4 linked regions of the Elephas maximus indicus genome follow. The protein of the gene in region 1 purifies or fractionates together with the protein of each later gene. This does not show direct contact. Links are inferred from orthologs where the notes say so. Each region holds a gene or a part of one and is shown in the gene's direction. Other genes may lie near its edges.

What was found.
Region 2: the proteins of PPP4R2 (region 1) and PPME1 purify together in Homo sapiens (affinity purification with mass spectrometry; 3 studies listed by BioGRID and IntAct, counting the BioPlex papers as one, with this or other methods). This does not show direct contact. The link is inferred for Elephas maximus indicus from reciprocal best matches to the Homo sapiens genes PPP4R2 and PPME1.
Region 3: the proteins of PPP4R2 (region 1) and TIPRL purify together in Homo sapiens (affinity purification with mass spectrometry; 5 studies listed by BioGRID and IntAct, counting the BioPlex papers as one, with this or other methods). This does not show direct contact. The link is inferred for Elephas maximus indicus from reciprocal best matches to the Homo sapiens genes PPP4R2 and TIPRL.
Region 4: the proteins of PPP4R2 (region 1) and DHX38 purify together in Homo sapiens (affinity purification with mass spectrometry; 3 studies listed by BioGRID and IntAct, counting the BioPlex papers as one, with this or other methods). This does not show direct contact. The link is inferred for Elephas maximus indicus from reciprocal best matches to the Homo sapiens genes PPP4R2 and DHX38.

Annotation. Positions count from the first base shown.
Region 1 is NC_064838.1:20,593,302-20,600,441, forward strand, and holds the start of PPP4R2 (serine/threonine-protein phosphatase 4 regulatory subunit 2), read left to right. Parts: upstream 1-4,139; 5' UTR 4,140-4,367; coding exon 4,368-4,401; intron 4,402-5,384; coding exon 5,385-5,466; intron 5,467-7,140. UniProt on the Homo sapiens protein: Regulatory subunit of serine/threonine-protein phosphatase 4 (PP4). May regulate the activity of PPP4C at centrosomal microtubule organizing centers.
Region 2 is NC_064825.1:48,323,653-48,331,334, reverse strand, and holds the start of PPME1 (protein phosphatase methylesterase 1), read left to right. Parts: upstream 1-4,682; 5' UTR 4,683-4,919; coding exon 4,920-5,020; intron 5,021-7,682. Other genes in the region: C2CD3 (C2 domain-containing protein 3), read right to left, coding at 1,082-1,351, 4,243-4,297. UniProt on the Homo sapiens protein: Demethylates proteins that have been reversibly carboxymethylated. Demethylates PPP2CB (in vitro) and PPP2CA. Binding to PPP2CA displaces the manganese ion and inactivates the enzyme.
Region 3 is NC_064821.1:216,493,353-216,500,714, reverse strand, and holds the start of TIPRL (TIP41-like protein), read left to right. Parts: upstream 1-4,340; 5' UTR 4,341-4,463; coding exon 4,464-4,567; intron 4,568-7,362. UniProt on the Homo sapiens protein: May be a allosteric regulator of serine/threonine-protein phosphatase 2A (PP2A). Isoform 1 inhibits catalytic activity of the PP2A(D) core complex in vitro. The PP2A(C):TIPRL complex does not show phosphatase activity.
Region 4 is NC_064839.1:38,403,263-38,410,178, reverse strand, and holds the start of DHX38 (pre-mRNA-splicing factor ATP-dependent RNA helicase PRP16), read left to right. Parts: upstream 1-3,913; 5' UTR 3,914-4,002; exon of another isoform or gene 4,003-4,013; intron 4,014-4,041; exon of another isoform or gene 4,042-4,133; intron 4,134-6,349; 5' UTR 6,350-6,368; coding exon 6,369-6,691; intron 6,692-6,916. Other genes in the region: TXNL4B (thioredoxin-like protein 4B), read right to left, coding at 324-455. UniProt on the Homo sapiens protein: Probable ATP-binding RNA helicase. Involved in pre-mRNA splicing as component of the spliceosome.

The DNA of each region.
Region 1 (7,140 bases):
AGACACAGAAACAAACACATACTAAGTGTCTTAGTCATCTAGGGCTGCTATAACAGAAATACCACAAGTGGATGGCTTTAATAAAGAGAAACTTATTTTCTCACAGTTGAGTAGGCTAGAAGTCGAAATTCAGTGTGTCAGCTCCAGGGGAAAGCTTTCCCTCTGTCTGCCTACTCATCTTCCTCCAGACTAGGAGGTTCTCCACGCAGGGACCCCAGGTCCAAAGGATGCGCTCTGCTCCCAGCACTGCTTTCTTGGTGGTATGAGGTCCCCAACTCTCTGCTTGCTTTCCTTTCCTTTTACCTCTTGTAAGATAAAAGGGGGTGCAGGCCACACCCCAGGGAAATTCCCTTTACCTTGGATCAAGGACAGGACCTTAGTAAGGGTGTTACGATCCCACCCAAATCCTCTTTCACATAAAATTACAATCACAAAATGGAGGACAACCACACAATACACAAAATCATGAGCTAACCAAGTTGATGCATATTTTGGGGGGACACAATTCAATCCATGACACTAAGGAAGAGAGATGGCATGTGAGGATCACCAAGAACCAAGGAATGCCCGGGGCTACCAACAAGGAAGGAATCGACAGGGCTGAGACCCTGAATGGGACTGTTAGCCTACAGAACTGTGAGAAAATTAATTTCTGTTCTTTAAAGCCTCCACTTGCAGTATTTGCATTACAGCAGCAATAGGTAACTAAGATGGGCCATTGTGGAGGTTGGCTACCACATTTGTATGCTGTTATCCTCCACGGGAATTAGTACTAATAGGAGGCTTAAGGAATCACTGACATTGGGATACATGCTAGCTAGGGAAAAAAATCCAAGGAAGAAAGAACTAATGAACCAAAGGAAATAATTGTTCAGTCTCCTCTTTTGCCTCTTTTCCCCTTGCATTCTCAGCTCAAGTCAGACTGAATTTCTTATGTATCTTTAGAATGCACCTGGCTCTTCTCTTTCATTTCAAGGCATCTTGGTTTTTTGTTTGATAGCTCCTCTTCTCCTCCTATCTACTTCACTTCGCTCCCTTCCTCTCATAATTCAATGGTCTCAGCTTAAACACCACTTCCTCCAGGAAGCTTTCCCTGATTCCCTTAGGCTGTCACTGCTGTGTCCACTTTATTTCCTGTCACAGACCTTATCCAGTTTGGAAATGAAAGGCATGCCCAAGTGAGGGGAATGACTGATGAAAGGGACAAAGCAAGGAGGAAGAAATTAGCACAATGAGTTCCTCCAACACAGCACTGTCTAAGAGAACTTTGGGCAAGGATGGAGTTTTCTGTATCTGCAAGGCACAATACAAAAACCACTAGCCACACGAGGCTATTGAGCACTTGAAATGTGGCTAGTGTAACTAAGGAACTGAATTTTCAATTTTACTCCTGTTTAATTTACTGGAATTTAAACAGTCACATGAGGTTAGTGGAACTGTATTACACAGCCAGCTTTTACACTGAGACACCAAAACCAAACCTGTTGCTGTTGGGTCGATTCATTTTCGACTCATGGTGACCCCACGTGTTGCAGAGTAGAGCCATAAGGTTTTCTTGGCTGTAATCCTTATGGAAGTAGATCACCAGGCCTTTCTTCAGCGGTATCATTTGTTGAATTCAACCTGCCAGCCTTTAAGATAGTAACTGAGTGGAAACTGCTTGTGCCACCCAGGGACCTTTGTATAGCAAGTGACCTGCCTAAAAAAAAGACTGGGTGTCAGAAGTGCAGGACAGGCTTTTTATGTAGGCACAGTAGGCCCTTTCAGACTAGAAGGGGCCATGAAAAACTAAATTTAGTGCATCATAAGTGCTGACCAAGTGTTTGATGATGACACCCTATTGCCACCCCTACAAGGCTATTTGTAATTGAGCTGAATGCTGTAGACAATGGAAGGGAACTGGTTTTCCAACTACAACACTCCAGAGAGGTATTTTGGGTGTGGAAGACTTTTGCCTGCATCTGTAACCTAGGGTAAGAATCACAGCCACTACCTTTTAAGAGTGTCAACAGTTGTAACGGCTGCATACAAATTTGTGCTTTCTAAGACAAACCAAAGGAACTCTGGTGACATAATGGTTGAAGCCATTGACTACTAACTGAAAGGTCAGTGGTTTGAAACCACCAGCAGCTCCACAGGCAGTTTACTTTCATAGAGATTTATAGCGTTGGAAACCCTATGCGGTTGCTATGAGTCAAAATCGACTTGATGGCAGTGGGTTTGGTTTTGTTTGGGAAGACAAACCAAAGATCAAAGACTACAGACTTCAGTATGGATTACACCTTAACATAAAGAAAACAAAAATCCTCACAACTGGACCAATAAACAGCATCATGATAAATGGAGAAAAGATTGAAGTTGTCAAAGATTTCATTTTACTTGGGTCCACAATCAATGCCCATGGAAGCTGCAGTCAAAAAATCAAACGATGTGTAGCACTGGGCAAATCTTCTGCAAAAGACCTGTTTAAAGTGTTAAAAAGCAAAGATGTCACGTTGAGGAAGGACTAAGGTGTCCCTGACCCAAGCCACAGTGTTGTCAACTGCCTCATATGCATGCGAAAGTTGGATAATGAATAATAGGGAAGACCAAAGAATTGATACCTTTGAATTATGGTGTTGACAAAGAATATTGAATATACCGTGGACTCCAGAAGAATGAACAATCTGTCTTGGAAGAAGTACAGCCAGAATGCTCCTTAGAAGTGATGACAGAGAGACTTTGTCTCATGTACTTTGGACATGTTATCAGGAGGGAGCAGTCCCTGGAGAAGGACATCACACTTGGTGAAGCTGAGGGTCAGGGAAAAAGAGGAAGACCCTCAAAGAGATGGATTGACACAGTGGTTGCAACAATAGGCTCAAACATAGCAACGATTATGATGATGGCACAGAACAGAGCAGTGTTTCGTTCTACTGTGCACAGCGTTGCTATGAGTTGGATCTGACTTGACACGGCATCTAACAACAACAAGACAAGCCCAGAAACTGCCTTCTCTTTCTTCCTTTCTTTCATGACATTCTGCTAGGCTTTGGGAAGAGAAGGTGCAACAGTCCAGTGCCTTTTCCTTTAAAAGTTCACGGACATAACAAGAGCACAAAAATGTCCACACAAAGGCTGGGAGCCAGATGTCCCAGTTTCAGTTGCTGTTTTGCCGGACTTGCTCTGTATGCCTCAGCTTTCCCGTTTGTTAAATGTCAGCGCTGGAGAAGGATTCTGCAGTCCCCTGTTTAGTTTCCTGGGTGCCTAGGCAATGTAATCTTAATCACAATGATACTAAAAACAGCAGGAGCCTTGTTAACTAAGTGCTCACCAAGTGCCAGGTCCTGTAGTGCTTCATACACACCGTTTCACGCAATCCTCAATCCTGTTTTACAATTCCCATTTTATGACAAGGAAACTGAGGCTCTGTGAGTTGTAACTTGTCCAGGGCCACAGAGGGAGTAAGTAGTGGAGTGGGATTTGAATTCAGCTGATTCCAAAGCTTGAGCTCTGAATCACTTTGCTGTATGCGTTGCTTCTTTTCACGGGTGGGTCAGTGACGAGTGAACGTCGAGTTCAGGGGCAGAGGTATTCTTGTCACTATTAATAGCTGTAATACAGAGTGCTTTTTATTCATACTCTGAACGCTGTGTGTACACATTCTTCCTTAATTTTCACAGAAACTGCATAGATAGGGTGGTCGGAACCAGTGCCCTCACTGTACCAAACGACCCTATAGGACAGAGTGGAACTGCACCATAGAGTTTCCAAGGAGCGCCTGGCGGATTCGAACTGCTGACCTCTTGGTTAGCAGCCGCAGTATTTAGCCACTACACCACCAGGGTTTCCCCTCATTGCACAGATTGGGAAAATTAGGCTCAGAGAGGAGAAGTAAATTGCTCAAGGTTACACAGCTAGCTAGGGTACTCGAATCCTGCGAGTCAGCTCCCAACCCGCTCCTTTACCGTGCTGTCTGCAGTACCGCGGGGGCCCGCCGAGGAGCACCACGCAGGCGGAGGATGCGGCGCCCGCCACCAGGCCGGGTCGACGGGACCGCCCGGCGGCACGCCTCCGCCGCGCACGCGCTCTCGGGCTCCCGGCTCGGGGCGCGCAGCGGGCGCGAGGACGGCGGCGGGGAGCGTGCGCGCGGTGACGTGCCGGGCGCCATGTTGGAGGGCTGGTGGTAGCGGCTCGGGGAGGTGTTCGCTCTGTCGGTCTCGCTCTCTCGCTCGCTTCCCCCGGCTCCCTTCGGTGCCCCCCCCGGTCGCCTGCGTGCCGGAGTGTGTGCGAGGGAGGGGGAGGGCGTCGGGGGGGTGGGGGGAGGCGTTCCGGTCTCGGGGAGACCCGCGGCGGGAGGCGGAGGCTGCGAGGGACTCCGGGAAGCCATGGACGTCGAGAGGCTGCAGGAGGCGCTGAAAGGTGGGGGTGGCTGCCCCTCTCCCTTCTCCCCTCCTTCTGCGGCCCTCTCTCTTCTCCTTTCCGGGCCGGTGGCTCCGCGGCCCGGGCCCGGGAGGGCGCGTCTCCGGCTCCCCTCCCCCTCCCACCTCCCAGGGGCGGGGAGCCCTGTGGGCAGCTCCCTCCCGCCCCGCTCTGGGCTTTGTGTCTGCCGCCGGCGTCTGGGCTGGGGGAGGGGAGTCGGGGAGCTCTCGGAGGGGCTCCAGCCCCTCTCCCACCCCGGCGGGGACAGGTCGTAGCCCCTCGCAGGCAGGCTCGGTTCGCCGTCAGGCTCCCGCATGCCGGGCATCGGGGTGAGAGAAAAAGTAAAAGGGTAGGTGGGGGGGCGGCGCTGGCAAAGCAACTTTTAGGTTGTCTTACGAAGCCTTTCAGGGCTTCTGGAGGCATCTTTGCACGCGCCCTAATTCTAAAAGGTGGTCGCCTTCCAAGCAACAGGCTTGAGAATAGTGGTTCCCAAACTTGGAATATCATGGTTTCAGGGATTTGAGAATTATGTTTTGACAATTCAGAATCGTTTGGGGGTGGCTCCGTCGAGTAGGTGGTGTTCGTTACAACGTAGACTTGTGAACTTCACCTAGATAAACAGTTAATGGGGTCGGGCCTGGAGGTTTGTATTTTAACCGGATTCCCTGGTGAGGCGGATGCTGGTGTTCCCCGTGACCCCACTTTGGGAAACACTGTATTCAGGCTAGTTTTTGGAGAAGTCGAGTGCCCCCTTTTGGAGGCGTCCTGTTAGCAGTGAATACCAGTGAAGTGGGTGACATGTTGGAAGTGGAGCTTGGGAGGGTAGAGGTGGCTGTTTGGTTGAGAAGATGAGTTTTTAATTTTTATTTTATTATTGTTTCTTAGTATGGGGAAGGACTGGGAGGAAAGTTTGTATTAAGGTGTTGGGAATGGTTGATGGACTTTGGGAAATACTAATAACATTTCTTTCTTCTCTTATCTAGATTTTGAGAAGAGGGGGAAAAAGGAAGTTTGTCCTGTCCTGGATCAGTTTCTTTGTCATGTAGCCAAGACTGGAGAAACAATGTGAGTTGAAACCTGTATTCATTTTTATAAACGTATGTCATTCAGGATTGCATAGGACAAAGAAAAAAGTATATTCTGGAAGAATTATTAATCTGTGTCATTCCTACAGTTTAAAAACTATCATTTAAAGCATGTAATAAATATATACTTTTATTTATTTTATGCATGCTCCGTAATGCATTTTAAAAAATTGTTTACCTTTTTTTTTTTTTTTAACATCTACATTTAGGCCTGTTTAGAACTTCTTAGTCTGAAAGGGCCTGAGAAAGGAAGACTGTCTTTTCCATTATGACCCTTTTGGGCCATAATGAACAGCTTTATCCCCAGGGTTTTGTGGCTTTGATTGTTTCATGTTCTTTTGTTGGTCGTATTTTGTCTTATTGTCCGTATCCAAGCTTTTGTTGTCATAGATGTAGGTGTTTGAAGTGTGTGACTTCTATTCTCTTGAGTACTCGGGGTGATTATCTGACAAATTCCAGATGATAAGTTTTGACTGTCCTGTAAACTTTCTAGGATAGCTAACTTGTTACATATGCTTACCATTTTATTAGGCTTGTTTCCAAATGTTCTGAATTTGAAACTTGTAAATTAGGGCTGTTTTCAAAAGGAATATTCAAGTCCATTGTGTGTAGTTTGTGTGGCAGGAGTTGTTTTCACACTCTGGCTGAGTTAGTTTGTAGAGGGCAAAGTTAATTTGTAGAGAGCAACGCAGCTTCGATGACTTCCTTGTTGTCTTTCCTTTGGGTAATGGTGGGGGAACAGGAAGGAGAAAGATTTCTTTGGGTGCAGTGGTAATAAATGGGCTCTCCTGGCTCCCCTACTTCATGCCTATTTTCAAAATACTTTTTGAGGCCTAACAGAAGAGTGTGAGCTTCAAGTGATACGTAATTTCTGTGGTTTTATTAGCAAGTGTTCATTTTCACAAGTTTTGCTATGGTTGTAGTATAGTCCTCTGATAACCAAATTTAGAAATGAGAAAAACGCTTAAACTTAGAAAAAGTTAAGAAAAAAATATTTAAAACCTTGTCTCTTCATCAGCTAATCAGCTCTGTACAAACTGCCTTTCCTTCTTGATAAAAAAACAGTGGCTCTAAATGTACAGTCAAAAGTTTCTAAAAGACAGGTTTAAAATTTTAAAAAAATTTTATTGTAGTAAAATACACATAACAAATTTGTCATTTTAACCATTTCTAAGTATATAATTTGGTGGCATTAACTGTATTTGCAATATTGTGCAATCACCACCATTAATAAATACAGCTTTTTAATATCTTGCCTTACTGGATCACCGGCGGCTGAGAAATTTAATCTGATTTTTCTGAACAATTATTTGTCTTGATAGAGGACTTAAACAATTTTTTTCTTTTTTTTGTCAAGTTAGGTCTATATTTACTGAGAGCATTTTGTGTTAAAATGATTGGTGTTCTCAAATTCATCTTTTGACATTTAATGAAGTTTGTATTACTTTTAACTGTGGGCATGCCTTTTGATAGTGAAAGTTGCCATTTCTCTTATCCATTTATGGCTAAATGGAGCTTTGTCTAATTTCTAAGATTGTCATGGGAGAATGCAAATATAAAAAGTGAGAGTTCAGATCTCTTTGATGTTTTAGGATTGATGGGTTGCTTAAGGTACGAATTCTGTAGTTTTAACCATTTTTATTTTCATCGATAC
Region 2 (7,682 bases), on another chromosome or scaffold:
AACGGATAGCTCACTCCTCTACATTCACAATAGCTTGTTTCACTCTTACAGTAAGCAAAATTCTCATAGCATGTTATCTATACTGTTTTAATAGCACCACTTTCTACCCATTATTAACTAAACTTCTCTGTGAACTTGGTTAGAATTAGATACTTCTCATTTTTTCTGACTCATTTTTGAAACCCCCACAGTGCCAACCACATTGACTAGCACATAGTAAGTATTCAATATGCATTTGTTGAATGACTAAATTACAGCATTTACTGTTGTGCTGTTCTTTATATTTTAATTTGATTTTTAAAAAATTTTTTCTTGACAGGATGTAAGCTACTTAAGGACAGGTTAGTTTTTAATTCACCTTTGACTCTCCATTATTCCTGGCCCACCAATGTTTACATGACACGTGCTTAATTTTTACTGACTCGAACCAGTATGATTTGATAAATAAGCCCACTACTCAAAATGTGTTTATGTGAACACCTGACCTGGATAAAGAATTAGCACAATACCCTTGGAATACTTTCTTCACACAGAAATGAAAAAATCTTGGCTTCCTGGATCCTTACAGAGGGATCCTTCTCTTCTCTGAAAACATGTATTGCTAACTCACTAAACTACTCAGCTGGCACTTAGAATGTATCATCTTGTATTATCAGTAAATTTTACATCTGCAGTCTCTTTCCTCAGGCATAATGTAAGCCAAAAGCAGAGACATTACACTTATTAACTGAAGAAGCATGGTATAGTGAAAAGAGCATGATTTTTGGTGTCTCAAGTCCTAGTTCTGCCATCTATCAACCATGTGACTTAGAGAGTATTCATTTCATCTTTCTGAATCTCAGTTTCACTGTCTACAAAACAGAGGAACTACTTATCTTGCAGAGTTATTCTAAAGATTAGAAATAATACATATAAACCGTTAGCACATGGTGTATACTCAATAAAATGGTTATTATAAAGCCTCTTTGACTCTTCAACAAGTAGCAATGCCCACCACATACTAGGAACACAATAACACTTATTGCTAACAACATAACCACATGCTTACTAGACCTGCAGGTTAAATAAGACAAAAACATACCTGTTAGATAAGAGGTAAACTGCTTTGGACCACAGCGAACAGCATAACGTGTGGTTGTTCTCACAGCTTTTGGCTCAGTCTGCAAAGCATCTCTAGGACAAAAGAAGGTTCCGTCTGATGTTTCTCCCCACCATCTCACTCGGACAAGTACACAAGTGGGAGGCTTTGCAATCTTCCATATGACTTTATTAATAGTAAGTTTCAGAAAGCAGCGCAATTGGCCTTCAACCAGAGGTGGAAGGCTTGTAGATGGAGAAATATCACTCAAAGCTGTGGAATAATCCAAGAACCCTGAGTCAAAATTTAGACTAAATATAAAAATCATGAATGAAAAACAAACAAAAAACACTTTAGTCTCTACAGAGAGAAGGTTTTTTCTACCTACTTCAATACATGATAAGTAACTAGCTAACCAGGCTGTGGAATAACCTATCTGGTCGTTTACACCACCCTGATTGTTGTTGGGAAACCCTGGTGGTGTAGTGGTTAAGTACTATAGCTGCTAACCAAGAGGTCGGCAGTTTGAATCTGCCAGGTGCTCCTTGGAAACTCTATGGGGCAGTTCTACCCTGTCCTATAGGGTTGCTATGAGTTGGAATTGACTCGATGGCTGTGGGTTTGGTTTTGGTTTTGATTGTTGTTGTTAGTTGCCATCACATTGATTCCAACTCATGGTGACCACGTTTGCACTGCAGAACTGCTCCACAGGGTCTTCAAGGCTGGGACCTCTCGGAAGCCAGGCCTTACACTTCCGAGGTGCCTCCGGGTTGGTTTTAACCGCTAATCTTTAGTTAGTAGTTTAGTGTTTATAACCATTTGAGCCAACCAGAGACTCCAGCCATCCTGATAGCCCATTAGTATTTAGGCTCTGAGTCAGGTTATTCTAAGTAAAGAACATACCAACTTAAGACATACTAATATAAACTTCTCTTTAATTGAAATTAATTAATTTAAAAAATACAAATACAATGATACAGTTTTTTAAAATCTCAGAAATAGCTGAATTTTTGCTGCCAAATACTGATGTTTTAAGGCAACATCCATGATTTTTAAGATATGTTATCTTTACCCAATTCACTTATTTTAAAAAACTATCAACTAAACATAAAACAGCAACAACTCCCTTCACTGAACTCCCAAACAATTTAGTGTGTGCCACACAATCCAATATTTCAATAAAGACCATCTTAAACTGTGTCTTGTCTCTCCTACCAAAATCATAAAGTCAATGAAGACAGAGACTATCATCTTTACATTCTGCCGCTACTTTTTAGAACATTGTTGGATTCACAATATTTATTGGCTTTCAGAAAGATAATACATCAACATGGGGCAATTATCATGACTTTCTATGAAGCTTTGCTTTAACGGCCTTGTCTTCCATTCACAGCATCATTTCACCATGTGACTTTGAGTTTTCCTCTGACTTTTCTCTTGAAGAGTGGTCATGCCTCATAAGAAAATACACTTGAACCAGAATCTAACAGATCAGGAATCTACAAAAATAATTCTTTAGGTTTCTGAAGCAAATACCCTTTACTGCCCTTCATAATGGAAAAACTCCCACCATAATCTTTATGGAGCCTGGTGGCATAGTGGTTAAGAGCTCGGTTGCTAACCAAAAGGTCAGCAGTTCACATCTACCAACCGCTCCTTGGAAACTCTATGGAGTTGTTCTACTCTGTCCTATAGGGTCACTATGAATGGGAATCAAGTTGACCACACCTAACAACAACAATGAAATCTTTACGGATAATTAGTTTCAATATAAAAATTATACACAGGTTTGTACATGTGCCTCACTGCATATGCATCTGTTATAGCAAGAAGGACGTTATTTTCTATACTACGGTTGTCATTTCTACTTTGGTTTGTCTTTTATCAATCAAATGTGCTTGACTGATTTGCCAAAGGGAGCACTGGCATTGAAAACCTCCATGTCTCTGTATCAGATTCTCCTACCATATCTGGCAGGAAAAGCACTGCCTCACAACTGCCTTACAGCTTGGATAAGATTCTTTCCCATACAGTAGCTTCAGCCTTCAACCCAATGGCCTTAATGTACTATCAGTATTCCTAATACCCTTTCTTCACTGTTGCTGTTGTTAGTTGCCATCTGGCTCATTGTGACCCCATGTGTGCAGAGTAGAACTGATTCATAGGGTTTTTTAAGGCTGTGACCTTTTGGAAGCAGATGGCAAGGCCTGTCTGCTGAGGTGCCTCTGGGTGAGCTGGAACCACCAACCTTTCAGCTAATAGTTGAACATGTAACCACTTGCACCACCCAGGGTCTCTTAAAGTGCCCATAATATAAAAAAGTCATGGCCACCTAATTTTCTTTTTTTCTTGAAGGCAGCCCTAGAGAGATCCAACTTCCAGTTTTCTGATCTGCCCTGGGTTCCTAGCATGACTGTTCTCACTACAGCTAACACACTCCTACCCTTTTGGACACCTTGTTTCTCCATCAGTGTCCTAACCTAATGAGGTCCTCTTGCATCTCTGCAGCCTGCCCTCTAATGTTCCCCTTCCTAGCCACCTCACATCCTTCAGAAGATCCTCATGCCTTCACTCCCACTCCAATCCTACCACACCTTGTCACTACCCCTTTGCTGTTAAGTCCAATCCGACACATTGGGACCTTATTTTTTCAGCTCGTCACTACCCACTCTTTTCTCCCTCTCTGTTGCACAACTCTCCCAACTCTCGCTGGTAGGCCTCACTTGCTTCTTTCATTCAACTAACATTTATTGAGTAATGCTTTGCGCTAGTCCTTGGGGATCCAATAATGTATAAAACGTTCTTGCCCACTGACTTAGTCCCCTCTCCAACTTATGTTTCCTGTGGCCCCCTGAAGACCTTCAAAGTCTTTACCCCCCCCCCACACGTTTAACTTTGTTATTAAAAACACTCCTGGAATTTTTCCTTCCCCTCTCCTAGAGATGTCCTACTTGTACCTTTTTAGCCCTCACCAGCCCACTCGTTCCCGTTTTTTGCGTCGCACCCCATTTCCTTTTCATTCTTTGGAGGGCCAACTGTCCTCTCTTTTAACCTTCTGACTCCTTGGTTATTTTCCTTCTTCGTCCCATCTTTCTTTTAAACCCTGCTCCTTGCCCAAACCCCGCCCGGTTACGCTTTTTTCAGCCTTTGGTTGCTCGGGTTACCTCTCTTTTTGCGGCCACGGCCACCCCCAGGTCCCTGGCCTTTTCGTTGTTTCATGCCGAACCCGAGCTCTTTTTCACCAACTTAGCTCCGGACCCAGCACCGACGTCTTACCCTCCCGCCATCCCTTCTCCTGGCGCCAGCGTTCCCCGGCAACCGGCGCCGCTGGGCAGCCTGGGAGGAAGGAAAAAGCAACTCTCTCCTTAACAGTTTCTGGGAAGCCGTCAGAATGGAAGGCGCCAAGACTCCTTCCCGCCAGTAGACTACAACACCCAGGATGCTTTGCTATGCTACCTCTGCGGGGTCGGAAGCGGTCACCTCCCGCTGCGCAAGCGCGAAGGGCTAGGCCCTTAGACGACTCCATTGCCCAGGGTGCATTGCCTTTCAGAGGGCTCGTCTTTCCGGCGAGAGCTGTCGAGTTCTCCACTTGGGGTTTCAGCGGTCCGCAGACTCCGTTACCCAGCTTCCTTTGTGGGAGTGCTGTGGCGCACTTCCGGTGGAGGTGCTGAGAGAGGGGGTGGAGTCTGAGGAGCCGGTGGGCGGTAGGCGGTGCTGCCGGTGGCTGAGGGCTGTCTAAAGGCGACAGGGCGTCGCTAGGGAGCCATCTGTGACCGGTTGGCCCACACTTAACGTGGGACGAAGCTTCGGCTGCTGTTTGAGTACGTGCGGCCTCGCTTTCATGTCGGCCCTCGAGAAGAGCATGCACCTTGGCCGCCTGCCCTCTCGCCCTCCCCTACCCGGCAGCGGGGGCAGTCAGAGCGGAGCCAAGATGCGAATGGGGTACGTGACCCATACCCCTTCTCCCTAGAGGCCAGGCCCCGGCCATTGGAGAATGGCGTTTCTGGGCGTTTAGAGCAGCACGGGAGGAGAGGCTAAGGATAGAAGAACGCTGGCAGCGGCCTGGGAGAGGTTTGGTTGGAGTAGAAGGCAGATCTGGGAGACTAGAGGAGTCGCCAGGTCAATGGAAATTGGAGGACACCATCAGAGACTGGCTTGAAGGAAAAATTAGAGGAATAGCGATGTTCAAGGGAAAGGGAATGAGGCAAAGATTAGGGAAACTGAGAGGATAATTAAGGGATGTGGGAGGCACCTCCAGAGGAAGGAATGAAAGAGGTTTGAGGAAAGGAATAGAGCCGTGACAAAGGTGGGAGGTAAATGTGCCAGGCAGTGCTGGAGGAAATACGGAATGACTGAGAGAAAAGTTGAGGGGAATTGGGGGAACGGCTTGGGAGTAGTAAGAAGACTGTGAGAACTAGATTTTAGAAAAGCTGAGGGGCATAGGGAACACCTGAGGTAGGGTTGGGGAAGAAAAAAGGAGAGCTTAGGAGCAGAAGGTTCTAGACAGAGTTCCCAGAGGCATAAGAGACAGATCCAGGGAGTGAGGGGTGACTAATAGATTAGGTCTCTTAAGGGTGAACTGAGAAAGCTTGGTAAATAGGCCTAAAGAAAGATGGAGAATATAGCCAGGAAGATTGTTAAGGGTAATAGGAACGTTTTTTGAGAAGCTGGGAAGGAGTGACGAAGGAGAGGTCTGAGGAGTTTAGAGAGTGATGGTGGGCCCTAGGGATTGAGAAATGATTAAGAATAGGGTTTAGTGAATGGAAATGATGCAGAGGCGAGGTCTGGGAAGCTTTAAGAAAAAGATTTGGACAGTTGATTTTTGCCGGACAAGTAGATTTGAGGGAAGCAACGTACTGGCCTTACAATTCTCAGAGAAGTCATGAAGCATTGGGAGTAGCTGCTTAAAATAAGAAAGTGTTGGGGGAAAACAGTTTGATTGGGAGAGATGGAGCCGTGTGGAAGGGATAGGCTTTGGAATTTTAGGTCACTGAATGGCTTGTGCCAGGTTTGGGGATACTTAGGCAACAGAAAGAAGTCATAAAAGTTGAAGATGGGAGAGGCAATTGCTGGAAAGTAAAGGGAATTGAATAATCAGTTGGGATTGAGGGGTGTTTGTAGTGTCAGAATTCTGGGGACTAGTGACTGTAGAAAAGGGGTAGGAAGGATATGTAGGTATGAAGTAGTGAAGAATGTGTGTTTGGGACTCCAGAGGTGGGTTGGTTGATATTCTGGAAACGAGGACTCCTGAGGAGAAACTGTAGGTTCTGAAGAAGTAATAATTTACAAAAACTGATCAAAAATGAAATAAGCAAGAGATGCAGTACTGTGAAATTAGGTCCTAGGAATGAAGGGAAAGGAGAATCCTATAAATTAAAACAGTGGGGCAGAGAGATGGTGAGAATGGTTGGAGAAACCAGGGAAGGAAACGAAGATGTACAGTAGAAGAAATGAGGAAACTTTGACAGAAGGAGAGAGATTGGTGTATGCACAATAGAAAGACGTGGTAGAAGGCTACATGAAAGATAAAATGAGGATTGCTTTGGCTTTGGAAGAATGGAAGGTAGGACTAACATGAATAAAGGGAATCTGGAAACTGATCCATAGCAGATTATTTGGGAGAATTAATCTGGGGTATAAAATTAATGTAACATTTAGTTGTTGCCTTTTTCAAACTAAAATTTCCTCTTTCAGTATACCAGCACACTCTCTCTATAAATATAAAAAATATATTTTTAAAAATAACTAAACTATATATACTTTGATGTTGTTAGGTACTGTTGAGTCGGTTCTGACTCACAGTGACTCTATAGGACAGGGTAGAACTGCCCCATAGGCTTTAATAAGGAGCTGCTGGTGGATTTGAACTGCCAACCTTTTGGTTAATAGCCAAGCTCTTAAGCACCATGCCACTAGGGCTCTGTACTTTCAGTAAGTTTAATTAGAGCTCAGCTCCTCACCTTGTCAAAACCAGTTCTCTGAAGAGGAAGGGGTGGGGGGGAATAACCACGAGAAAACAAAGGAGAAATCTGCTGATTAGAAGATTGTATAGTTGTTAGTAACTTAACTTTTTCAGTAACTTGTCCTTTTTAAATAGATGCTTTGGGCTTCGTGATTTAGGTTGGCTGCTTATCTTGAAAAAATAAAGTTATTTAGGAAGATGCGTTTTTATCATAGTATTGGGAAGAGAAGAGCATGATTTTACTATATTGGTGAATTTTGTGTGATCCTCAAGTGGCTTATTTTCCTATATTTTTGTTTTCTGCTTCCTTTTTGGTACCTTGGCAAGGCCTCACCTAAGTCTGATGGTAGTGACAGAATGGACTGTCTTATCTAGACTCATAAAGCTAGACAAGAGCTTAGAAGTGATCTCATTTCACTACTTCATTTTATAGTTGAGGAAACTGAGACTCAGAGAATTCTGTATTCTGTGAGGCAAGCTAGGGCAGGGGATATTTTCTCTTGATAAACGAAAAAATTGAGGCTCAGGTGTTCCTGCTCTTAGGCAGCCTAGGAACTTAGTGGTAGGGCCACTAAGGACTAGGGTCACTTGACTCTGAGACCCATTGTTTTTTGGATTCATAGTTGTTATCCTGGAAATACT
Region 3 (7,362 bases), on another chromosome or scaffold:
TGTTTTTCCACTTATGTAGGACTCTTTTGGTTTCCTGCAGTAGTGTACTGTAGTTTTCTTTGTATAGGTCTTTTACGTCTCTGGTTAAGATTTATTCCTAAGTATTTTATCTTCTTGGGGGCTACTGTAAATGGTATTGATTTGGTGATTTCCTCTTCGATGTTCTCTTTGTTGGCATAGAGGAATCCAACTGATTTTTATATGTTTATCTGATGTCCTGATACTCTGTTGAACTCTTTTACTAGTTCCAGTAGTTTTTTTTTGTGGATGCTCTGGGGTTTTCTGTATATAAGATCATGTCATCTGCAAATGGAGATACTTTTACTTCTTTCTTACCAATTTGGATCCATTTTAATTCTTTTTCTTGCCTTATTGCTCTGGCTGGGACTTCCAGCACAATGTTGAATAAGAGTAGTGATAAACGGCATCCTTGCCTGGTTCCTGTTCTCAAGAGGAATGCTTTCAGACTCTCTCCATTTAGGATGATGTTGGCTGTTAGCTTTGTATAAATACCCTTTATTATGCTGAGGAATTTCCCTTCTATTCCTATTTTCTAGGAGCTTTTATCCATGAATGGGTGTTGGCTTTGGTCAAATGCCTTTTCTGCGTCAATTGGTAAGATCATGTGGTTCTTGTCTTTTGTTTTATTTATGTGGTGGATTACACTGATTGTTTTTCTAATGTTGAACCATCCCTGCACACCTGGTATGAGTCCCACTTGGTCATGGTGAATTATTATTTTTGATATGTTGTTGAATTCTATTAGTTAGAATTTTGGTAATAATTTTCACGTCTATGTTCATGAGGGATATTGGTCTGTAATTTTCTTTTTTGCATGTGGTGTCTTTACCTGGTTTTGGTGTCGGGGTTATGCTGGCTTCATAGAATGAGTTAGGGCGTATTCCATCCTTTTTTATACTCTGAAATACCTTTAGTAGTAGTGGTGTTAACTATTCTCTGTGAGTTTGGTAGAATTCTCCAGTAGAGACGTCAGGGCTTAATTGATAGATTTTATACTTAAATAAAAATACCCGTATAAAAGGAAGTCTTCATCATGTCTTATCCAGGAAAATCAGGGACAAATATTTTGGGAGGGTAGGTAGGAAAGCACTGGATTCGGTGGCCTGGCAATTTTCTATTTAGGCCAGATTGCAGAAAATGATGTAATGATCCCCCCCCCCCAAAAAAAGAGCTCAAACTTAATTGGGACTCACAACAACCCTAAAGGACAGAGTAGAACTGCCTTGTAGGGTTTCCAAGGAGCAGCTGGTGGATTTGAACTGCCAACCTTTTTGTTAGCAGCCAAGCTCTTAATCCCTGTGCCACCAGGGCTCCAAATGTTTTACACTAAGATGTAAATGACTGATTGAGTTAATCAGCGATCTGGTACTGTATATCTAAAACCAGTTGAAATTTTAGATGAAATTGGACAGATAGAAAATATACATTTTAAGGGACAGGGAGCCTTGCTTTTATCACTAAAACAATGTCTTGGAACTCCATTGTCAATCTGTTATAAGAAAAGATGAGAATACAATTTTATGATAAAACTTGTGATTGGCAAAAAGCAGGTGCTCTGTTTTGGCATTCATTTGGATGAGTGAATGGACAGTGGTAACTGGAATGAGTGAAGTCGGCTTAAACTGACATGTTGGCTCAGGGGAAGAAGTGATCTAATCCAGCTACAGGGGCCAGGGAGAGCCTTTTGGAGGTGGAGTACAAATGCAAAGCAGGTTATTCTAGGCCTGAAGATCTATATCTTTAACAGGTTGCTAGGTTGTGTGTAAAACATGACAGGTTTGAAAATGACTCTCAGGCAGCTGGAAAAGAAAGAGTAAGAGCTCAGCCATAGGGCCAAGTATAGGTGGGTAGGGTTTAGAACTGCTGGAAAAAAGGCTGAAAAGTTAGATTTGGGAGATGACCTAGCATCAAACCATCGCATTTTGAGGAAACAAACTGAGGCCTAAAGATAGTTAAGTGGTTTACCAGGGATGCACAGCTGTAGAGTTGCAAAAGTGGAATTAGCACCCGGGTCTCCAGTATTGTTTCCACTATATCAGGTGTTTAGGGACTAGCTAGACCATGGGCAGCCTTGAATACCTGAAAGATGAAATTTTTTGACAGGAGTCTATCTTAGTTAATAGTGACTAGATGGCCATTTTTAAATCACGTGATGCTGGACCTCCTGCACTCTAAAGAATTACTTTTTTGTGCCTCAACAGGAAAATTCTGGGCACTTACTCTTTACACCAATTCTCTAATACAAAAGGTAATTACATTGCTTTAAGAGGTCTGTAAGGAGCTATAGGATTGCTATGAGTCGGAATCAACTTGACGGCAGTGGGTTTGGTTTTTTTTTGTTGTTGTTGTTTTTAAGGATTACATCAAAAGAAGATGAAAGGAACTTGCAGAGGCTCTATACCCAAAAGAATTGGTTGATGTTCAGCCATTTCAGGAGGTAGCATATGGTCAGGAACCGATGGTACTGAAGGAAGAAGTCCGAGCTACACTGAAGGCATTGGTGAAAAAACAAGGCCCCAAGAATTGACGGAATATCAATTGAGATGTTTCAGCAAACAGATGCAGTGCTGGAAGTGCTCATTGTCTATGCCAAGAAATTTCAGAGACAACTACCTGGTCAACCCACTAGAAGAGAGCCATATTTATGCCTATTCCAAAGAAAGCGAAAATTATCCAACAGTATCATTAATATCACACGCAAGTAAATTTTGCTAAAGGTCATTCAAAAGCACCTTCAGCATTACATCAACAGGGAACTGCTAGAAATTCAAGCCAGATTCAAAGAGGACGTGGAACCAGGGATATCATTGCTGATATCAGATGAATCCTAGCTGAAAGCAGAGAATACCAGAAGGATGTTTACCTGTGTTTTCGACTATGCAAAGGCATTGGGCTGTGTGGATTATAACAAATTATGGATAACATTGCGAAGAATGGGAATTCCAGAACACTTAATTGTGCTCATGAGGAACCTGTACACAGATCATGAGGCAGGTGTTCAAACAGAACAAGAGGATACTGAGTGGTTTAAAGTCAGGAAAGGTGTGCGTTGGGGTAGTATGCTTTCACCATACCTATTCAATATGTATGCTGAGCAAATAATCCGAGAAACTGGACTATATGAAGAAGAACGGGGCATCAGGATTGGAGGAAGATCATTAACCACCTGCATTATGCAGATAACACAACCTAACTTGCTAAAAGGGAACAGGCCTTGAGACACTTACTAATAAAAACCAAAGACCACAACCTGTAGTACGGATTACACCTCAACATAAAACCAAAAAAAAAACCAAACCCAGTGCCGTGGAGTCAATTCCGACTCTTAGCGACCCTACAGGACAGGGTGGAACTGCCCCATAGAGTTTCCAAGGAGCGCCTGGCTCGAACTGCCGACCCTTTGGTCAGCAGCCATAGCACTTAACCCCTACACCACCAGGGTTTCCATTAAAAAAAAAAAAAAATTTTTTTTTTTTTTTTTTCGGAAAACAAAAATCCTCACAACTGGACCGGTAAGCAACATTATGATAAACGGAGACAAGATTGAAGTTGTCAAGGATTTCATTTTTCTCAGATTCACAATCACACTCATGTAAGCAGCAGTCAAGAAATCAAAAGACGCATTTAATTAGGCAAATTGGCTGCAAAAGACCTCCTTAAAGTATTAAAAAGAAAAGTTGTCATCCTGAAGACTAAGGTTTGCCTGACCCAAACCATAGTGTTTTCAATCGTCTCCTATGCATGTGAAAGCTAGACATGAATAAAGAAGGCTGAAGAAGAACTGACGCCTTTGAATTGTGGTGCTGGAGAAGAATATTGACTATACCATGGACTGCCATAAGAAGGAACAAATCTGTCTTGGAAAAAGTTCAACCAGAATGTTCCTTAGAAGCAAGGATAGCGAGACTTTGTCTCAAGTACTTTGGACTTGTCAGGAGTGATTAGTCCCCTGGAGAAGGACATCATGCTTGGTAAAACAGAGGTCAGAGAAAAAGAGTAAGACTCTCCACGAAGTGGAGTGACGACAATGGGCGTGCAAAGGGTCGCTATGCGTCAGAACGGACTCAGAGGCACTTAACAACAATCACATCTTGGACTCGCCTTCCGAAGAGCAGAAGAGTACGGTGCACCTCTGACCACACCCCCTGCAGATGAAGCCCTACCCCTCAGCCTTTGCTCCCTTTTTCCCCACCCCGGTACGCCGTGACGTAAGACGTGGGTCACGCAGCATTGACAACGGGACCCGGAAGGAAAAGCGAAAGGGCGGAGAGGAGGCGGAAAAGGAGTGTCCCGCGTCCGGGGCGGCAGGCTGGGGGCGGGGCCGGGCATGGTAACGGCTCGGAAGCCGTGGGGCTGGGCCTGAGGGAGGCGGGGGAACCGGTGCCCGACGCCGCGGCCGCTCCAGCCTGCTCCGTGCGGCCGTCGCGGGCCCCGCTTCAGCCATGATGATCCACGGCTTCCAGAGCAGCCACCAGGACTTCGCCTTCGGGCCCTGGAAGGTGACAGCTGCCAAGACCCACATCATGAAGTCGGCGGATGTGGAGAAGTGAGGCCCCGGTGCTCGGGTGGGGACGCGGCCCGGGAGCTGGGCCCGGGCGAGAGGCAGGGCGAGCTCCCCGGGTGGGACCTTTGAGTGACGGACAGCACGTTAGTCGTGTCGCCACCCCCCCACGGTCGGCTGAGGCTCGCCAGGCGCCGGGGCGTGAGCGCAGCGTGACGGCTCTGACGGACTTTGCCCGCCGAACGTCTCTCCCGCTCCAGCCGCCGCCGCCGTCGGCCTGTTTCTGTTAATGGTTGTGGCCTGCTTTCCTGGGGGTTAACCCCAAACCACAACAGTCTAACTGGTTGTCAGCCAGTCGCTACTGTGTAGGACTGAGTGGAACTGCCCCACAGGGTTTCCTAGGAGCGTCTGGTGGAGCCCAGCTGCCGACCTTTTGGTTAGCAGCCGAGCTCTTACCACTGGCCACCAGGGCTCCGGGGGTTAACAACGGGGCTGCTAGAAATGTTTAGTTTTTAGCAAATCAGGTACCCAGCCCAGTACTTAAGATATAGAAGGTGAAAGATGTCCTCTGCCTCAAGGAGTTCGCAGTCTCATGAGAGACAAGTGAACAATTACCAGACAGTGTGAATAACTGTTTATGATAGAGATGTATAAAACAAAGCAAAAAAAAAATCCAAACCTGTTGCTGTCCATGTGACCCTGTAGGACAGAGTAGAATTGCCCTATAGGGTTTCCAGGGAGCGCCTGGTGCATGCAAACTGCAGCCGAGCTCCTAACCACTGCACCACCAGGGGTCCTAGAGATGTGTACCAAGTAAAACCAAACTCTTTGCGACCGATTCCAACTCATAGTGACCCTATAGGACAGAGTAGAACTGCCGCATACGGTTTCCTAGGAGCAGCTGGTGGATTCGAGCTCCTGACCTTTTGGTTAACAGCTGAGTTCTTAACCATTGTGCTACCAGGGCTCCCTGTTAGAACCACCGTATGTAATTTTATCCAGAGTAGTGATGTTATCAGAGTGTGCGCTCTGAAAGGTTGTTACGGAGGTGATGTGGAGGGTGGACTGGAGGGATTGTAGGGCAAGGAGACCAGTCAGATGGCAGGAGAGAGACGAGAAGTTTGAGGAGATGAGCTCCTGAACTTGATGGCCAGTTGCTGGGAGAAGAGAAGGAAGGAGAGGAATCTGTACCGATGTCCGGATTTCCAGCTTGGGCTGTTGCATGAATATTATCTCCAGTAAACAAGGTGGGAAATACAGAAGCAGATTGGGGATAGGGCAAGTGAGCAGTTAGATAGAGAATAAATTTAGTTTTGAAAATACTTGTCTTAATTACCTAGTGCTGCAATAATGGAAATACCACAAGTGGATGGCTTTAACAAACAAATTTATTTTCTCACAGTTAAGGAGGCCAGAAGTCTGAATTCCGAGTGCTGGCTCTAGGGGAAGGCTTTCTCTCTATGTCAGCTCTGGGAGAAGGCCATTGTCTGTCTCTTCAGCTTCTGTTTCCTGGTTCCTTGGAGATATCCATGTGGCTTGGCACCTCTGCTTGCTTAATCTGCTCATTTTATATTTTTTAAGAGATTGATTCAAGACACACCCAGCCCTAATCCTGCCTTATTAACATAACAGACAATCCATTCCCAAATAGAATTATAACCACAGGCCTAGAGGTTAGGATTTACAGCACATATTTTGGGGGGACATAATTCATAACAATACCAAAATGGGAAGTGTGTGTGGTCATAAAGTAGGCATTTGGTTGTATTTATCTTGAAGCTCAAAAAAGATGACTTGCCTGTGAGTTTAGGTTTGGGAACCATAAGTTTATAATTGGTACCTGGAGCCCTGGGAGTAAGATCATCTGGAAATCACCCGAAGGAAAAGAAGAGGTCCTGAGAGGGAACTCTAGGGAGCACTGGCATTTGTGATTCAGGTGGAGGGTGGTTACCAGGGAAGGCAGTCCTGACAGGATGTTTTGCTTCCTAATTTAAAAGGAAAAAAAATTGTAACATTTTTGCAGACTTGTTAAGAAAATACAGAAAAGAAGGGGAAAAAATTCATTTTCATCCTACTACAGATTGGGTTACTCTTTGAGTTACTTTGTCTGTTATGCATTACACCGTATGTAATTGTAGTGGTTATAAAGCAGTCAGCATTTATAATTTACTTGCAGACTCTCCTAGCGGTGCTGGATCCATGGAGAGTTTTAAGGAATTCAAATTCCAGATCTTTAACTTCTTTTTGTATTATTTCTAAAATATATCTATCTGAATATACTTCGTCTTCCTTCCATATGACATAGGAGAGCCTTACCCTCACCTATCCTAAATTTTTCAGCGGTGCACTGCTCTAGGGTATAAAAACCTCTAGAGTGCTAAATAAATTATTAGGTTAAATATTGGTTTGAGGAAGCATTCTTTAATAAATATTTAAGGCATTTTAAACCCATAGGAGCTTTCATAATTTCCCTGCCATATAACTGGTTATACCTATTTGTCGAGTCACGGAGTGGTGCAAATTGTTACGCACACAACTATTAGCTGAAAGGTTGGCAGTTCGAACCCTCCCAGAGGTGCCTCAGAAGACAGGCCTGGTGATCTGCTTCTGAAAAGTCACAGTCACCCTGTGGAGCAGCTCTACTCTGCACACATAGGGACACTGTGAATCAGCATTGACAATAGCAGCCTGTTTGTTAAGAGCAACGCTTGATGTTAGAAATAGCGTATTTGGGCCTGTGTTTAAGATACTCTGAAATGAGAATGTTTGAAGCAATGTTAAGTTAGTGACAGTGATTCTTTTACATATATAACTGGAGTATTTTGTAGGACTACCAGATT
Region 4 (6,916 bases), on another chromosome or scaffold:
GGGGCTACCATTACCTCACTATTTTGAGGACTGAATTAGATAATGTTTGTAGACACTTGTTAATAATGTTTTCTCCTCTTATACTGCGTTGTTGGTGAAACTGAGCTTCAACAGCAAGTAGTGGGGAAGGACACCCAGGACAGATTCAGCACAACCACAGCTTTGGGGATTCAGCTCAGTGGAAGGAACATCATCAGTCTTTAGTGAAAGTGTGCTGAATAGTGAACAGCTATAGCCCCAGGCTCTGCCTGCTCCCCTTCATACATTTTGCAGAAAATGTAATCATTTTTAATAAAAACCATTTATTAAAAAAATTCACTTACAATATCATCTAGCTGCAGACAGACAGGATCCTCGTCTCTCCCAAACCTGAGAACCAACACTTTCTCTGCAGTACTTTTTATTGCCTGGTCTACTTCTTTTTTGCTGATCAGCTTGGGCAATAGGAAGCTCATCTTGAAATAATCCAAATTATTAATTCTCGCTGGCAATCCTGAAATAAAGCTGCAATGTTTAAAGACAGTTTGAGTGCATGAGTCCTAACTATGTAAAAAAAAAAAAAAACTTTTTGGAATAGGTAATTATATTTACGTGGTATAAAAACAAACAATACAGAAATTTAAAGTGTGAAAAGTCTTCCCTCCTTGCTTTTCCCTCCTCCAGCTCAGTTCCCATTTCCCAACCTCCCCCTGAAGCCCCCATCAGGTATTATTTTTATCAGTTTTTTACATATCTTCCAGAGTACAAATATGCATTCCTATATTTCTTCCCTTTTCACCCAAAAGATAGCCCACTCTATCAATGTTCCAGCAGGAAACAGATGGCACCCTCAACTTTGGTAATTTGAAGACAGTTTAGTGAAGGCAGGATGTAGGAAAACAAGGTATAGTGCAAAACTTTGGGGCTAGTAACCGTGGAGACATGGGAGGGAGTAGTTACCAGAACTGGATGGTGGAGACAGCTGAGTGGAGAGTGCTGTTGGCTAAGCAATCAGCCTGCAGTTAAGGGATGCAACCACTCTCCTCCCTCCTACTAGTGCTCCCATGGCTGCCTCCAAATGAAATCATAGGGCAGGGGACCTGCTGAGGCAGGCCAGCCTCCGGGTCACAGAACAGTCTAGAGGAGGAAAGGCATGTCGGGAGAGCAGATGGAAGTCCAGCACACACTTTATCCACTCTTCGCGCTTTGCATTTTTTACCTAACATACAAAGATTTCATACTTATATAGAAAACTTCCACTTTCTTTTTCATAGCTGCGTACTACTTCATATCATACTATTTAAACAGTCCGTTATTGATAGACATTTGTATTAGGGACATGGCAAACAGATCAGCTGAAGGCGTGTAGGAAACAACAATCAAAAAAACACAGAAAATACTGAGATAGAAAGGGCCTTACCCATCCCCCTCATTTTACAGACTAGCTTGCTTATAGTTACACTTCTAGCTCTACAAGGACTAGAATTCAAACTACCAAATTTCTACTCCAGTGCTCTTTCTACTATATAAGCTTCTACTTTTATTATTGAAGAAATTTCATTTCTAAGGAACTTCTTAACAAGGAGTTTTTTGTTTTTTTAGGCCAATCTTGAGAGATTTCATTGAAATATACTTGATATTTTGAATTCAGTTCCAAAGCTGGCTAATGTTAAGAAAAAGTGAGAATTTCTTTCATTGTATTTTTGTGATATGTCATATCTTAAGGTATGAATAAAAATTCCTGCAATAGGTCATACTTTAAACAGGGAAGCTGATTGTCAACAGGGAATTCACAAACTGTTGGTATCAGAACAAATTACCGATGAAAAGTCAAAGAGAAGATTAATCTGTCCCACCACTAGATTGCAAACATTCAGAAACTCCTCTATGTTGCTGATAAAGAGAAGAAGGTGAGGGGAGGGCAAAGTTGTCAACAAGGAAGCCAGGGGGGGACTGGATGGAATGCTGGAAGGAGAGGGAAATTGAGATGACACTTAAGAAAATGTCCATAGCAAAGGATACTAACAGGGAATTCACAAAACAAGAGGTACAAATGGCCAATCAATCATAGTTAAACTGTGATGCGTTAAGATTGTGTGTCAACTTGGCTGGGCCATGATTCTCAGCGTTTACATGTGATCACTCCCAAGATGGGATCTGCTGTGAGTAACCGAGCAGTTGAAAGGAAGTTTCCTTGGGGGTGTGGCCTGCATGAGAATATATGCAGCCATTCTGGCTTTTTGCTTGCTCTGGATCCTGCGGCTGCCTCCTGTTCGTCTGACCTCTGGCTCTTGGGACTTGAGCTAGCAGCTTGCCTACCAATATTGGGACTCAGCGATCTTCACAGCCTGTAAGCGAGAGCCCTGCTCTTTGATCTGCCCATCTTGGGTTCACCAGCCCCAGCAGCTATGTGAATCAGGAGAAACTACTATTCTGATTCACAGACTTGGGACATTCCAGCCTCTACAATCAGTGTGAGCCGTTTCCTTGATATAAATCTGTGCATTCATACGCTCTACTGGTTTTGCTTCTCTAGAGAACCCAGCCTAAAACATAAACTTTACTAATAACTAAAGAAAAACAAATTAAAAGATAACTTTAAAAATCCACTAAATTTGCACAGATTAAACAAGATAATAATATACAACAATCACACCAAATGTGAATGTTGGGGCTGGTATTAATCATCCCTGCTGGAATGCAGAGAGGCAAAACTATTCTGGAAAGAAAGCTATTCTTTGACCAACTATTCCATTAAAAAAAATTAATACATAGGAAATAATCATACACGTGCAGAAAGATTTATTGTGTAACATGTATTCATTACATTTATAATGGTGAAAAATTGGAAACAACCTAAATGGCTATCAATAGGGGACTGATGACATAAATGAACACAGTCCTGCAATGGGCCACTATACAGCCACTAATTTAGAGATGAACAATTAATATACTGAAATATTCTCATGATACATAGCTCAAAAAAAGTTACAAAACGGTATGTAAAGTATAAACCCAATTTTACATGAACCGTAAATATAATGTATGTGTACATATTTGCATAGAAAAATTGCTGGACGAGTAAACATCGTAAACACCATCAGTGGTTATTTCTGGGTGTGGATAAACGGGTGATTTTTATTTATTTCAGGGTGTGCCTCTGTCCAAGTATCCTACAATAAACATGTATTATGAGAGAAATACTTGATAAACTTTTTAAAGATGCCTGTGGTTAGACTGGGAGCCCTGACGGCGCCGTGGTTAAAAGCGCTGGCTGCTAACCCAATGGTCAGCGGTTAGAACCCACCAGTGGCTCGGCAGAAGAAAGATGTGGCGGTCGCCTTGGAAATCGTATGAGGCAGATCTACTCTGTCCTTTAGGGTCGCTGTGAATCGGAATCAACTCGAGAGGGCAACCGGTTTGGTGGCTGGGCTACTCCTGTCTACAACTGCCAGGGAAGACACACTTACTTTACTTGTACAAGTCACCTTCTTCCACTTCAGGGCTGTCAGCAAACGGGACCCCTTCTCGGAAGAAGCGGGACACACGTGGCGCTTTTCTTCAGCTCCAACTCAGGCAGCGACCCTAACGCCAAGTAACCGAGGGGCTGTTGCCTAGCAACCCTCCGCTGACCACTTCCGGGTAAAGAAACGAGAAAGAAAACGCACTGGTGTAGTAGATACTGAGCGGTCGCTGGTCAACCTCCGTTTAACCGCCCAATATGCAGGCGAGATTATTCTAGTGACCGCCCACTTTACCGGCTCTAACCGGAAACCCTAGAGTCACTTCCGCCCATATTAAATATGATTCACCTTTCTTCTTCAGCTCTTCCCCCCCTCCCCCATACTAGACGTTGGATAGTACCTTTGAGACTAAGCGTGATTGGCTCGCGAGGAGACTCAAAAGAGGATAGTCTAGCCTTGCCAGCCAGGTCGCGCTTTGTCCCACTCCTGGAACCAGGAACCGGCGTTTGGCGGACTGCTCTCGGTGGTATCTTTGCGCGGATAGAGAAGGCCCCGCAAGGTATCATGGGGGTAAGAATGGCGGCTTTCAAGGTGCGGATTTTGGCTCCCTGAGGCCGCCTGAGCGTAGAGTGGCGGCGCCGACGCCCCACAGTCCGGGACCGAAGGGCCCGGAGAGTTGTGCTCGCTGCCGTGAGTGTCCCTTCTTTTTCCTGCCCTTGCCACTCCGGGCCGCTCCCGCGGCGGATATCGATCCCTTGCTCAGGTCCGGGTTTGAAAAGTTAACTTTTTCGGTTGTCACCCAACTCGCTTTTTTCACCTCAGGGATGCGTTCCGGTCCTTCCTGCCCTGTCCCCTTTCTTTGCTCCGGTCAGATCCCTCACCCCTCCTCAGGCCCCTGCCTTAGCTCACTCCCTGACCGATGATCAGCCGGAGTAGGGCCCCGTGTGTCTTCCTCTGTTTTTTCACGCGGCTGTCGTTACCAGACAACTTCGTGGGCGATCACCTCTAGATGTCAGCTTCAAGAGTGCGAGAATTTTTGCCTGTTTTGCTTTCTGCTCTGTCCCTATTGCCTAGAACAGTGTGATTGGCTCAGAGAAGGCACTCAGTGAACAATTGTTGAATGAGTTAATCTAGCTTTTTCTTCACTGTTTTTCTCATACCTTTTGTGGCGTCTTTGTCATTAGTTCTCCAGAATCTAGCCTCTTCACGCCTTATTTTTTGTTCTTCAAAGCTAGTTAAGGCCTCTCTGTCAGAAACCTTTTCGTGTGCTCCTTTGCTTGATGTCTCCATAAACTTGTGGCGTCTGGTTCTCCTTTGATATGTTTAAACTCATTCATTTATTCCTCAAACGTTTGTTTTAACTAGGTGCTGGGCTAAAGCAGTCAACAAGATAGACGAGGTTCCTTTAGTTGTATAGAATGGTATTCTAGAGGTAAATTTTCTAGTTTAAACTACAGCTACTCAAAGCCTGTATGTTTCTACCTCCCTGTTTGGAGTGTCGCACATGTATACAGGTGTCACCAATATGCGTCCATCTCTTTTATATTCTGCCTAATATTTTCAAAATGCAGCTCTTGCATCTGATTGATAATGTGTGTCCAGTCTGTTTGACTGTACTCTCAATGTAGAGCTGGGTGTGTTCATTAGAGCTTGGCAAAATATTTTGGATTCTGGTGGCACCCTACCCTTTCCTCTGCTTCACTGACTTGTTGGAATGAGGGGAATTATGCAAGCACTCAGAATAGGTGTATGTTTGCAATGCCGTGTAATGAGAAGTAAGAAGAATTTGTTACTTGTTGAAGGTCAGGAAGTCTTACAGTCACTTAAACAAAATATTTTTCAGGAACACCGTTCCCTAGAGTTTCTCATCAATGTTTTTGGTGAACATCAATAGTTATTAAACAGATTTTGACTGCTGTGAGGTAATTCTTTTCTACAAAACACACTGGTCTGAAAAAAAGCCACCAGAGTATGGATAATATGGATGGCAGCCTAATACCCCAACATCTCTATGTACTCTGTTGTATCTGTAGTTTAAAGAGAGGGATAGAGTAGAAGAATAGAGAGTACATTCATGAAAAAAAAAAGTGGCAAGGGACCCACTCAGTATATAGGAGTGTGGTAAATAATGTAAAAACTTTAGTTATATAACTGTTTATGGTTATAAAGGAGCCCTGGTGGCACAGTGGTTAAGTGATAGGTTGCTGATCGAAAAAGCAAGGGCCCTTTGAACCCACCAGCTACTCAGCAGGAGGGGAGAAAGATGTCATAGTCTGCTGCTATAAAGATTTGCAGCCTTGGAAACCCTATGAGGCAGTTCTAATCTGTCTTATAGGGTCACTGTGAGTCAGAATTGACAGCAGTGGGTTATAGTTACATAGAACTTTCACATGTACTTTCTTGTCTGATCCTCATAATAATCCATATTTTAGGTAAAGCAAGCATCGTTTTCACTTTATAGACATGGAAGCGATGGCCAGCCAAAGATTAAGTTATTTGCTTGTAATCACGCGAATAGACAGTGTCAAGAGCCTGGATTCTAACTCAGGTTTTATGACTTCAAACCTAGGGGTGTTTCCACTACATTGCCTGTACAAATGCTGCTAGTCCCTCATAACTGTTCCTTAGTGAAGTCTATTCTTGTCTGGATGATACCCTTTTGGATTCTGGGGGGATGTTTGTGTGTTTCTGGTGTGTGTTTGGATTCTGCAAGGGGGTCTTTCAGGATTGTCAGTGACTTGACTGAAAGTTTTTTGCAAGATAAGCTAAAGATATCCTGGTCTTGTTGCAGGGATGGGGAGAATTAACCCCTAAATATACCTGTAACTATAGGTATTCTGGTATATTTCAGAGCCTAACCTTCTCCTGTTTTATGTCTTGTCTTAAATGGTTTATTCTCCTGCCAGGGAAATCCCATAGCCTGTGATGGAGGACAGCAGCGAGGATGCTTCGATCCATCGACTGGAAGGCACTGATCTGGACTCTCAGGTTGGTGGTCTTATTTGCAAGACCAAAAGTGCGGCTAGTGAGCAGCATGTCTTTAAGGCCCCTGCCCCTCGCCCTTCATTGCTGGGACTGGACTTGTTGGCCTCCCTGAAACGGAGGGAGCGAGAGGAGAAGGATGACGGAGAAGACAAGAAGAAGTCCAGAATCTCTTCCTACAAGGACTGGGAAGAGGGCAAGGATGACCAGAGGGATGCTGAGGAGGAGGACAGTGACCAGTCCGGCCGAAGTAGCCGAAAAGACAGGTAAAGGCCTTAAAAAAAAAAAAAAACCGAACCCACTGCCATCAAGTTGATTCTGACTCATAGCAACCCGATAGGACAGAGTACAACTGCCCCATTGAATTTCCAAGGAGCGCCTGGCGGATTTGAACTGCCAGCCTCTTGGTTAGGAGCAGTGTCACTTAACCACTGCGCCACCAGGGTTTCCGGTAAAGACCTTAGGAAGGATTAATCCAAAGGGAATGAAAA